Caenorhabditis elegans: one gene and its partners. The protein of the gene in region 1 purifies or fractionates together with the protein of each later gene. This does not show direct contact. Each region holds a gene or a part of one and is shown in the gene's direction. Other genes may lie near its edges.

The links.
Region 2: the proteins of F42H10.2 (region 1) and zig-6 fractionate together in Caenorhabditis elegans (co-fractionation; one large-scale study listed by BioGRID). This does not show direct contact.
Region 3: the proteins of F42H10.2 (region 1) and pole-3 fractionate together in Caenorhabditis elegans (co-fractionation; one large-scale study listed by BioGRID). This does not show direct contact.

Annotation. Positions count from the first base shown.
Region 1 is NC_003281.10:8,488,626-8,491,610, forward strand, and holds F42H10.2 (coiled-coil-helix-coiled-coil-helix domain-containing protein), read left to right. Parts: upstream 1-1,994; 5' UTR 1,995-2,019; coding exon 2,020-2,280; intron 2,281-2,336; coding exon 2,337-2,423; 3' UTR 2,424-2,479; downstream 2,480-2,985. Other genes in the region: Splicing factor ESS-2, read right to left, coding at 1-194, 316-911, 975-1,148, 1,197-1,457, 1,512-1,712.
Region 2 is NC_003284.9:5,186,293-5,190,759, reverse strand, and holds zig-6 (Zwei Ig domain protein zig-6), read left to right. Parts: upstream 1-1,682; 5' UTR 1,683-1,794; coding exon 1,795-1,855; intron 1,856-1,910; coding exon 1,911-2,061; intron 2,062-2,113; coding exon 2,114-2,262; intron 2,263-2,313; coding exon 2,314-2,454; intron 2,455-2,498; coding exon 2,499-2,587; intron 2,588-3,604; coding exon 3,605-3,745; 3' UTR 3,746-3,844; downstream 3,845-4,467. Other genes in the region: T03G11.9 (MARVEL domain-containing protein), read right to left, coding at 4,137-4,282. UniProt on the Caenorhabditis elegans protein: Probably not involved in maintaining the position of ASI and ASH head neuron cell bodies and ventral nerve cord axons of PVQ, PVP, RMEV, AVK and HSN neurons.
Region 3 is NC_003281.10:6,461,662-6,464,882, reverse strand, and holds pole-3 (DNA polymerase epsilon subunit 3), read left to right. Parts: upstream 1-2,026; 5' UTR 2,027-2,035; coding exon 2,036-2,302; intron 2,303-2,345; coding exon 2,346-2,475; intron 2,476-2,529; coding exon 2,530-2,546; 3' UTR 2,547-2,667; downstream 2,668-3,221. Other genes in the region: dlc-1 (Dynein light chain 1, cytoplasmic), read left to right, coding at 1,119-1,210, 1,491-1,668; algn-1 (Chitobiosyldiphosphodolichol beta-mannosyltransferase), read right to left, coding at 2,701-3,221.

The DNA of each region.
Region 1 (2,985 bases):
CAGGAGTTGTGGATCGCTTTGAACTTGACGGTCTTGACCAATTCGACATGATTTTCGGCGAGGCGAAAGGAGATTTGTGAGCAGGTAACATTTTTAATCCAAGCTTCTTGGTTGCCAACTTTTGAGCAGCAGGAGATAATTGTGCAAGCTTGTCTGAGACTCGCTTGGATCCAAATCCAGGTGTTCGGCTGAAACTTTACCAAGTTGAAAATTATTTGAAGTACTATTATCTCGTTATAGATTTTAATACCATAGAGAAATATATTTTATAACTTGAAAAAATAAACAATTTTTAATTGAAAAATGAAAACTCACTGAGCTCCTTCAGCTGCTCTCATCGCAACTTTTCTCTTGTCTCTATATTTGGCCGCGATTGAATCATTCATAGATTGTGCAATTTTCTCCCGATACGGAACCTCTGGTATCTTGAATACAGGCGCCGCACCAGGCAACGAATGCTCTGTAACGTCAGGCGCATCAAGTCGGAATGGTGTTCCATCAATTTCTCCCCAAGTCATAAGAGGAGAATCCATGTCGTCAGGATTTGGATTCGGTGTTTCGAGTAATTTGAATGAGTTGGCTGGAGTTACTTCATTTCCCAAAAAATCAACTTTTCCGGCATTCGCGAGAGCATGGCTCACTGCTGCTCGAGTCATAGCTTCGTCGCTAGGCTTCAATTTTCCGGAGTCTGGAAACCTAGTGCCACGTTTATTTATTTCAGTTTGCTGTTTTCTAGCTGCATCTGCAATCTCTGCAGGTGTCAGAGCTGCCCCATCCGGATTGAAGAGTACAGTGTTCCATGCTTTGTATGCCCAATTGTCTACATTCAGAGGTCTATTGTCATCAGCATCTACAGCATGTTTTAAAGCCAACTGCACGTCAGCTTCAGCAGCAATTGCTTGTCGAGTCACCTGAAATTAGATTAAGTTACGAATTCGACGATATCAGATTTTATTCGTGAAAGAATATCTTACAAGGTTTTTGTTATGCTCTTCCTCGGCTTTATAAACCCAAGGACGACGTGCATCTTCTCGTTCCCTCATAACTTTCGCCAATTCCTCGAAGGAAGCATTGTCTTCTGATGTGTATTTGTTGAGATATGACGTTAAAGTCTCTTCTTTCTTCTTTTTTCGTTTCCGATTTAACGCCTGAAACTCTGCGAAAGATAGTAATGGATTGAAAATCATAAATCTAACCTCATTATCTCCTTCCTCATTAGCAAAAGGCATTGGAGATTGCATCCAATCATGTGCACTCGAAGTTGAAGCAGATGAAGGGCCCGGTGTATCTGCATCGAAAGATGAAACATCAGGAGCCTCAGTTGTCGAACGAGTTGTTATTGGGGTTCTGAAGCTTCTATCGGTCCGCACACTTCCAGTACTGCAGAACTTCATTTGAAGTTCTTTTATTTTATTAATGTCCTTATTTGCAACAGCCTCCAAATACTCTTTCTGTGCCTGAAAATAGAACTCATTAAAACAGTAAATATTTATAAATAATGATTATTTTACCTGCATTTTCTTGAGATGTGGAAAATAATCTTTTTCTATAATTTTATCAAGTCCAGCAATGTACTTCTCCTCGGGAACAACTTGGCGCTCAATTTTCTTAGTAACTAGGGTTTTCTGTGACAATTTCACTACTTTTCCCTCGTTTATTGATTTTGGCACCATCAGCTGAGCTCGCTCGTCATTTTTGTCGAACGACGACATTTTTCGAGTTCTGAAAATTTACAAAATAAAATTAAAAGCACTATTTTAAAAAGAAAAAACCACGAAAATTAGAAAAATAAAAGAAATTGCGAAATTTTATAAAAAATCGGAGTTTCGTAGTGCAAGTTGTTTAGCGCTCTCGTACGTAGTCCTCGTGGACAATAAACTTACTGTTAGAATTTGTTTTCTTTCAAAGATTATTTGATTAAATACATAACACTTCTTGTCCGTAAATTAATATATTTGATTTCTGGTTAATTTATCTTCAAAAACATTAATTGCTTTCAGAAAAGGTGATAATCTCGAAATGGCTTCAACAAAAGATGAAGTTGTGAGAATGAGCGTCGATGAGTACTGGGAAGATATTAAAGACGATTATCTTATACAACTAGCTAACACGGACCCTAATGAAGTCTATCCAAGCAATAACCCCGGACCAACAACTGCTGATGGCCAAATCAATTTTGAATGTCACTGTGTCGGTCATCTTGTTGGAAGCCCTTGTGGATTCGAGTTTCGGGAAGCGATTACGTGCCAAAAGACCAATAGTGATGGTGAAATAGAGCAGGTAACAATTATTTAGCTCTAGAGTTCTCGAAAATAAATAAATAATATGTATTGTAGGGAGCTTGCGGTAAGGAGTTGATGTCGTTCATGGAGTGTGTCACACGAACACAGTGTTTCGGTACCGGTGACAATGATAAAAAGTGATGATTCAATTATAATTTGTTCATTTTGTTAATTTATAAATAATTATTGTTTAAATACTGTTTTGTAATAATTATACTGTATTTTGTGCATTACAAAGAGTATTGCGAAACGTTTATTTGCTCTCTTTTCTTTTCATCTGTATATCTTCGAACACTCCTTCATTTTTTGGTTTTCTTTTCGCTGTTCGGATGTTCCTTTGGCCGGCTTGAAGTACTTTTCATATCTATTCTCCTTTTCCACTTGAAGTTTTAGTTGCTGTGGAAGATTCGATTCGGCCATCAGTTGTCAGGCTTAAATATGGTAAAAACGTTGCAGATCATTAATCGGCGGGAAGCGGGAATTTTGCATATTGTAGGAGAAGAAAGTATAGACCCGGTTTTACGGTAAAGTTCTTCTTCGCTTTAACAAATTGCTTCACTTGTCATACTTACGCTATTTTTGTAGGGCGCCAATGAAAGAATTTAGCGTTTCGAGTTCATCTATCAATTTGTATTTAAATTCTTGTGATTTTTGAGTGAGCATTGTAAGAAAAAATGATACTCAAATTCTCCGATTGGGTCAG
Region 2 (4,467 bases), on another chromosome or scaffold:
TATATACTAATATGCATTTGTATAGGGTTTCTGAAAGTAAAAAAAGTTAATTGTTACTGATTACGTTGAAATAAAAATTTTGAAGATCCAATGACTAAAAAAAAGTTTAAAAGGATGATCGTTTTTAAGCATTAAGCTCTGCGGATTTGGGAGTTAACTTCCTAATGGTGCTCCCAGTGGGCTTCTTGGGCAAAATCAAAAATAAATACGCTATCAGGCCAATTGGGCATTAGACTTGTGCAGCTCAGTGCTGTTTTGTGCCAATCAGTGTCGCTTTTTGGGCGCACTGGCCCGCGCTAGAATGGTAGATTAAACTGTCCACAATCTCTCCAATTAAAATAATTTTTACAGCACTTGTTCACGACATAGTGTACGATAAGTTTTAAAGTTGATTTTTTCAGCTTATTTTTTCTTGTGATAACATTTTAATTAGTGAGTATTAAAAAACTTTCAAATAGCTTTCAATTTGAACAAATTCCAGACTGGTAGTAAGAAATCTGCTAGAAACTTTACTTTTTGGCTCCATTCTTGTAAAAATTCAACTCAACTTAAATTTGAAAATGTAATACAAAACATTTTTTTTGATGTCTTAAAACTGGGAGAAAAATTGTCAAAAAGAAGACTTCAATAACCGATTTAAACTGAACAATTTGGAATTGAACAAAATCTTTTTAGTATCAACCAGTAAAAAGTTACTACTCCATGATGCTTGCGCACTAGAATTTTTCAGTGTTCAACATTGCACGCTTGTTTCGCCTTTAGCATTCAGCTGATGGATCAAAATTTCAATAACTGCAAATTAAACTATTTTTTACAATTTTATGTTACCTAGCTACTTGAAAAAAACTTTTGATCGCAACCGAGATATTTTTTTGAAGAGAAAATACGAAAAATCTAATTGGGAATAACGAAAAGAGCTCAAATTATTTTTGTACCAAAAGTTTTTCAATTTTTTTGAAATTACATGTGATTGTTTTTGTATTTGAATTTTGTTAGGCTTAAAAAAATAATTTCTAAATCTTAGTTAAAATAGTATTGACATAATGGTTCACGTGCTGATCTGAATGAGAATTAATCCTACATATATAATGCAATAATAATGTATATGTTAAAAAATTAATAAGAACATCACACTGTCACTGTTTCTTAAATTATTGTTCAACATATTTATATTTTATTAGTTTGTTTAATCGGCAGGCGTATTTAAAGTTGAATAATCGAAAATAAATTATGAAATAACTATTTTTCGCAATATTAAAAACTATTGAGAAATATTAACTTTTTCGCACTTCTTGCCTTCGGTATTAAAATTTTATATATTGTTGTAAATATTCTGAAATGTATTTCATTTACAGTTGTCAATCATATCAAGTTGTATTGGAATAAGTACCTTGCAATAACTGCAAATTTAAAAGTTTCTCACATTTAATTCATGATGTTTGATGATTTATTTTCAATAAAATTGTCCTTTTTCCAGACTATCATGAAGTGCACAAATCACTGAGCTTTCTCATTAAAAACATCAGAACAATTATCCAGAGTTAATAGTCTCCCTCAATCACCTACATCACGTTTTTCAAAAGACTCCAGCCTGTTTAATAGCCTTCGGCGTTCTTTTAATCTGAAAAAATAGCGAGCGAGATGAGGAGGGCAGTGGTGGTAACCCAAGCCTCGAGTATTTTACAAGAATGAATCTTACTGACACCTGACGAAGCCTTCACAACAGTCTCTAGTAGCGGTGGCTACTATCATTTGGACTAGGTTGTCTCCTTGAAATTCTTCCTTGAAAACAGGATGACTAAATTATGTCTTTTACTTTTACCACTAGTTTTCCTAGTCTCTTATTCGTTTGCAGGTTTGTTGAAAAGAAATTTAAAAAGTGTTATTATTCATAAGAATGAACATTTCAGAAGAAGAAATAACCATTTCCATTAGCCCAAATGCAAACCCAGTTCAAAAACCAATTGGTCACCAGATTTCTCTTGTGTGCTCTATTAAGAAGACTGATAGTAATGGAGAAAAACCAGGAATGATCTGGAAGAAACATGGTGGACTAGACCGGTATTTCAAGATCCCTATTTTCCTATTAAATATAACCCAGCTAATGTTTTAGAACTGGAAACGTCGAGGTCAAAAAACTAGACGACTACACTCTCGGACTTATTATCAGAAATTCCAGTGTGGAGGACAGTGGTGTGTACTATTGTCAAGCTCAGGTTGGAAGTAAAGTATACATGAACAAGATGGATGTAATCGTTTTTGGTAGGTCTCAATGTTTGTCGAGATTTTGAAAAAATAATACACTTTTTGCAGAGGACATTGTCTTCCGAGACAAACAACTTCACTTTGGTCAAGTTCTAGCGACTGCTTCGGTTAATATTTCATGTGAGGTATCCGCCAAGAAAGACAGTGTCATAACTTACTGGACTCGTCACGGGAAGCAAATCCTGGAAGGTTTGTCTTGAGGAAATTTGTTAGTTGAAACAAGGTGTTTTCAGGTGGTAAGCACAAGTTCTACAGTAGAGGGTCTATTCTGGAAATTCAAAATTATCAACCAGAACAAGACGCAGGACAGTATACATGCGAGGTAAACGAAAAATATAGGATAAAAACTTGTAAATTATCTTAGAATGGGCTTAGATCTAGGAATGACAGCCACTGAGCAAAAAGATATAAAATTACCGTAGTCTAAGTCATCAAAAAGTGAGACAATGGCGGCAGCCATCAAGGGTAAAATTTATGAGTTGCGTCGACAAAAGGTGCTATTTAATTTTATGGTAATTGTAGGGAAATGTTCTTTTGTGTGTAGAGCTGGTAACCGACAGATAAATACAGATAAACCTTATCAGTAAACTGTGAAACTTTTATCAAAAGAGAAGTGATAGTTTTTTTTTGAGAAAAAAGGAAGGGATTTTTGACAAAATATCTCGGTATTTGGCGCTTAATTTCGGCAAAATAAATCTAGCCATAAAGTTGGCGAAGTTTGGTTTTTTTCTTGAATGCTACTTAACCAAGTTCAATATATTTGGGCAAAATTTTTGAAAATAATTTTTTCTATGAATATAAAGGGAATTGAAAGAAGCCTATTGAGGTGCTTCGAGTTTTTCAAAAAATTTATTAAAAAATTACGGTTATTTATGATCTTTGATAACTACCCAGTATAAAAGCAGCGTATACGTTGTAAAACATTAATATTAACAATGTCTTTGTTCGAAACTTGTCACAGAAACTGGCTAAGTATTGCAATTATTATTAAAATATTGTACATATTTTGTTTGTCACATAAATATTTTTATACAAAACAATTCTAATGTGATTTCAAAACACAATGGGATAACATTTTACCAAACGTAAGAGATAAACATTTTAATATGATAACATTTACTTTTTTGAACACTCTAGTTTGTTGAATATTTTTGATTTATTTTTTTTTGAGGTAAAGAACTTTTCAAAATTCTAATTGCAAAATTTAAAAGTAATTAAAAATTTAAAAAAAAAGAAAAAATTTTGTTAATTTTTTTAAGTTTTCTATTCCGTCATTATAGCTTATTTTATGTTATTTAACATTTTGAAAAGTTAAAAAAAAACTGTTTCTTTATTATAGGTGTTCCATGTAAGCAGCGGCTCATCAAACACAAAAACTGTGACTCTTGGAACCACAGGAGAGAAAAACTACGTGGCATGCCAGCAGATGTGTAACAGTTTTTGCACTGATGTTCACAACAAAGTATTTACCAACAACTAAATTTTGAAGTGTATTGATTTTTTTCTCATTTTATCATTTCAAACATTTGAGTCACTGGAATAACTTTGATTCTTTTCAATAAATTATTATAGCTAAAAACATTTTTCTGATCGTGTTCAACGCAACAATATGAAAAAAAAACACGCTAATAGAAAGAAATATTGAACAAATACGGCATTTCTCATGAATGTTTTTGTTTCCAGTAACAAAAGTTCCCTACAAGCTCACGAGTGCTTGGTTGAACGCAATTTTTTTCCCAGGACTGTATGCATAATATATATTCTCGTACGAATATTTTATGCTACAACAAACATAAAAGTTGGAAAAAAAATAATAAAATATTTCATTGGTCCAAAAAACAAGACGAGTATCATCATGACGAGGTTGGTGTTCACTCCCACATACATCTTTCACCACTGTCCGGATAGATACCTTCGGCTTTTTGCCGAAGGTAGTGATAGCATTTGGTGGCAGCCCATATGGCGCCTATACAAATTACGATTCCCAAATATATTGATATCACCATTAACATTTGATCTGAAATGTAAATGAGATTGCGGGAATATGTGGCAAAGAGATTCAGTTGGATACGATGTTATACATACAACTCCGAACAATTCTTTTATTATTTTTTTTTCAATTTTGCAAAAATTCAGATGAATGATGCAGTACTCCATTTTCCAACAAAATTAAATGGCCTTTCACAGTTTGAAAAAATGTAA
Region 3 (3,221 bases), 2.0 Mb from region 1:
ATAAGCAATTATTCATAGAATTTGCAAAGATAGTGTTTCCAGTGCTTTTTCGAGCGATAACAACATTTTGCTAGTAGAGATTGTGGAATTTTTGTTGACGATAGTTGATTAAAAGTAGATTAAAAGTGTTAAAAATAGATTTAAAGTGTTCATCATATATTTTTAAGCTCTTGGTTTTTTCCAAGAGCTTTGCTATGTTTCAAATTGATCTTCTATGCATCTATTACTTTTATATTCACCCTCTTCCTTTTTCCGGTCTATTGTATTCAGGAGTTAGAGTCTATAAACACATTCATGCTCGTCTCACACAACAACCTCGCAGTTTCTTCCAACGCCCTTCACTTTTTCTTTTTTTTCTCCTTCTTCTCGCTCCCACCAACACCCCAAAACATTTTGAAATACGCGGGCACGCGCCTGTTTGCATTTGAGTGCGCGCGCATTGCCCCGACGACAGCCGAGTCGCACACTCCAACACAGCCGGGTCGCGTGCGACGCGGCTGTGCAGCGTGCGACGCGCCCCGCCTATCTCGCTCTCGGCTTCGCTCAGCCATCTTCTCTTTCGTCTCCCAATGCCACCCATTCCTCCACTCTTTGAAACTGTTATCTTTTGGCTCACTTCATTCTCCTCCACTTTCGATATCTTTTCTCTGTTGTCTTACGAATGCTGCTGCTGATAAATGCGTACAATCTGATGTGTACTCTTATCGAAAAAGTAGCCTGTTTGTTGACATGAAATATCTTTTGAAAAAAGTTCCCGATGACACATAACTGGGGAACTCTTCTTCTTTCATCTATTTCATTATTTCTAAACTGTTCAGATTTAAACAATTCACGTCAAAAGTTTTTCATGTTGCGGGCGCAAATACTCTGTACTCAAGTGCCTCCGAGCTTTGCAAATTATATTTTTAATACTCTGAAGAGCCTTATTCGTACTAACATACTCCTGTTTCGTGTCATAAATTGGGTCGCTCAAATAATTACCTTGCCGTTCTTCCATTATCCTTATCTATCTCTTTGACCTCCGCATTCCGCATTCACAACCGTTATTATAACTACTACCGAGTACCCGGTGTTCAATTAATTTAATTTTGTATTTTTTGCAGCCAAATCCGTTCAAAATGGTTGACCGCAAGGCTGTGATCAAGAATGCCGACATGTCCGATGACATGCAACAGGACGCCATCGACTGCGCCACCCAGGCCCTCGAGAAGTGAGTTATGAGCTTTCTCATTGCATTTTAAACGCTTGAATAATTCGATTGCCATGAACAACACTTGGTCGCTTAGTAGAGAAAAAGTGTAAAGAAATGTCGTTTAGCTGTTTGGAACGGCTCATCGGTCCCTTGATTTAAACTAAAGTGGACGGCAGCCCGAGTCTAGGGGAGGGGGCGAGCAGGAGCGACCAGCTGATCGAACAAATCTGATCCTTGTGCAAGAAAAAAGCGAAGCGATGAAAGTCTAAAAAATAAAATCAAAACATTTTTTTTTCAGATACAACATCGAGAAGGATATTGCCGCTTACATCAAGAAGGAGTTCGACAAGAAATACAACCCAACCTGGCATTGCATCGTCGGAAGAAACTTTGGAAGCTACGTGACCCACGAGACTAAGCACTTTATCTACTTCTACCTTGGACAGGTCGCCATCCTGCTATTCAAGTCTGGATAAATCCCATCCTGTTCTTAAAAAACATTCAATGATCTTTAAATTGTGACCTGATCCTACGTGTACCTTAGGTGGCGTAGGATCTTCAGTGTGCACTCTTGTTAAATCTTCCTTTTCCTCCCAAAAAACATTTTCCTTCGTCGCATTCTATTTATTTAGCTCAAACTGTTCATTTTCTTTGAATCTTCCTCCATCACCCATAAATCTTCTTACGTTGTCCGTTTTTGAGAGAAAAGAGAACTCATAATATTTTTGTTCTCGAAAAGTGCTCGCACTAAAAGTAAAAATAAAAGGATAGCTTTAAATCCCTTAATTATCTGTGCTTCATTTTTATACTCGAAACTGAACAAGGCAATAATTTAAGATAGAAATGTCATCAAACGATGTGGATCAAAACGATGATCGAATTGCTCAAATGATGATGCCAGCAGCAATTGTGACTCGGCTCATGAAAGAAGACAATATTTCTGCATCAAAAGATGCTCGAGACGTCATCGCTCGTGCTGCAGCAGTGTTTCTCATAAACTTGTCCGACGTTTCGGCTCAATCTGCTCGCGATCAGAAGCACAAGACGATCTCAGGAGATGATGTTGTCAAAGGACTCCGAGAGCTTGAGAATACTTCTATTCACAATCATGTAATTATGGGTTTCGAAAGAGTTAAGAAATTAAAATTTCCAGTGCAAGTCCGCCAACGATAAATGGAAAGTTATTAGTCAGCAGAAGGCTCTCGCTCGTAAAAATCCAGTTGAATCCAGCTCTGTCAATGCTGAAATGGATGACGACATTATTGACGATACTCCTGTCGATGGTTAGTTCTATTCTTTAAATCTGAAGTTTATCTGAATAATTTATAATATTGCAGATTCATTGATGAACTGATCACTCATAACCAACTCATTCCTGCTCAAAACGATCCTTCCTGTAAAATCTCATTCCGATTCTCAACGCGTGTCCCACTTTTGTCTCTAACATTTCACTTTGATAAACAATTTTGGCCAATAGTTTATTGAATGTACAAAACCCCGAAAAAAAATTAAAGCGATCTGAATGCCCCCGAAAAAGTGCCCATAAATAAGTGAATCGGCATGATCAATAAAATAGCGAAAAATGAGAATTGAATAATTGCACGAAGTTTGGCGAATCCATTGTCTGGAACTCGAAAGTCTGCACCAGAGGTAGCTGATCTCTTCCACATCACTTCCCAAGAATCGAATTTTTGCTCCTGTGTATTCTTCTTGAGCCGTATCAATTCATTGCAATTATTTGGGAATCCACGAGAAAGTTCAATAATTTGACGACTCAACTGCTCAGAATCATCGAAAAGATATCCATTAGTTTTCTCCTCAACGAGCTCATCAATACATTTGAATTTTAGAGCCAATGCTGGAACTTTAGCTCCAAACATATCAACAACTTTCATCGGAAGATCCAATCCAGACGTGCTTGTGTGCAAAGAGATTCCTAAGTCAGCAGAGGCTAGAATCTTTGGATAATCTTCTGCTTCCAACCATGGAGTCAATACATCGACATTCTTCAGATTTTTCTCGTGAATTT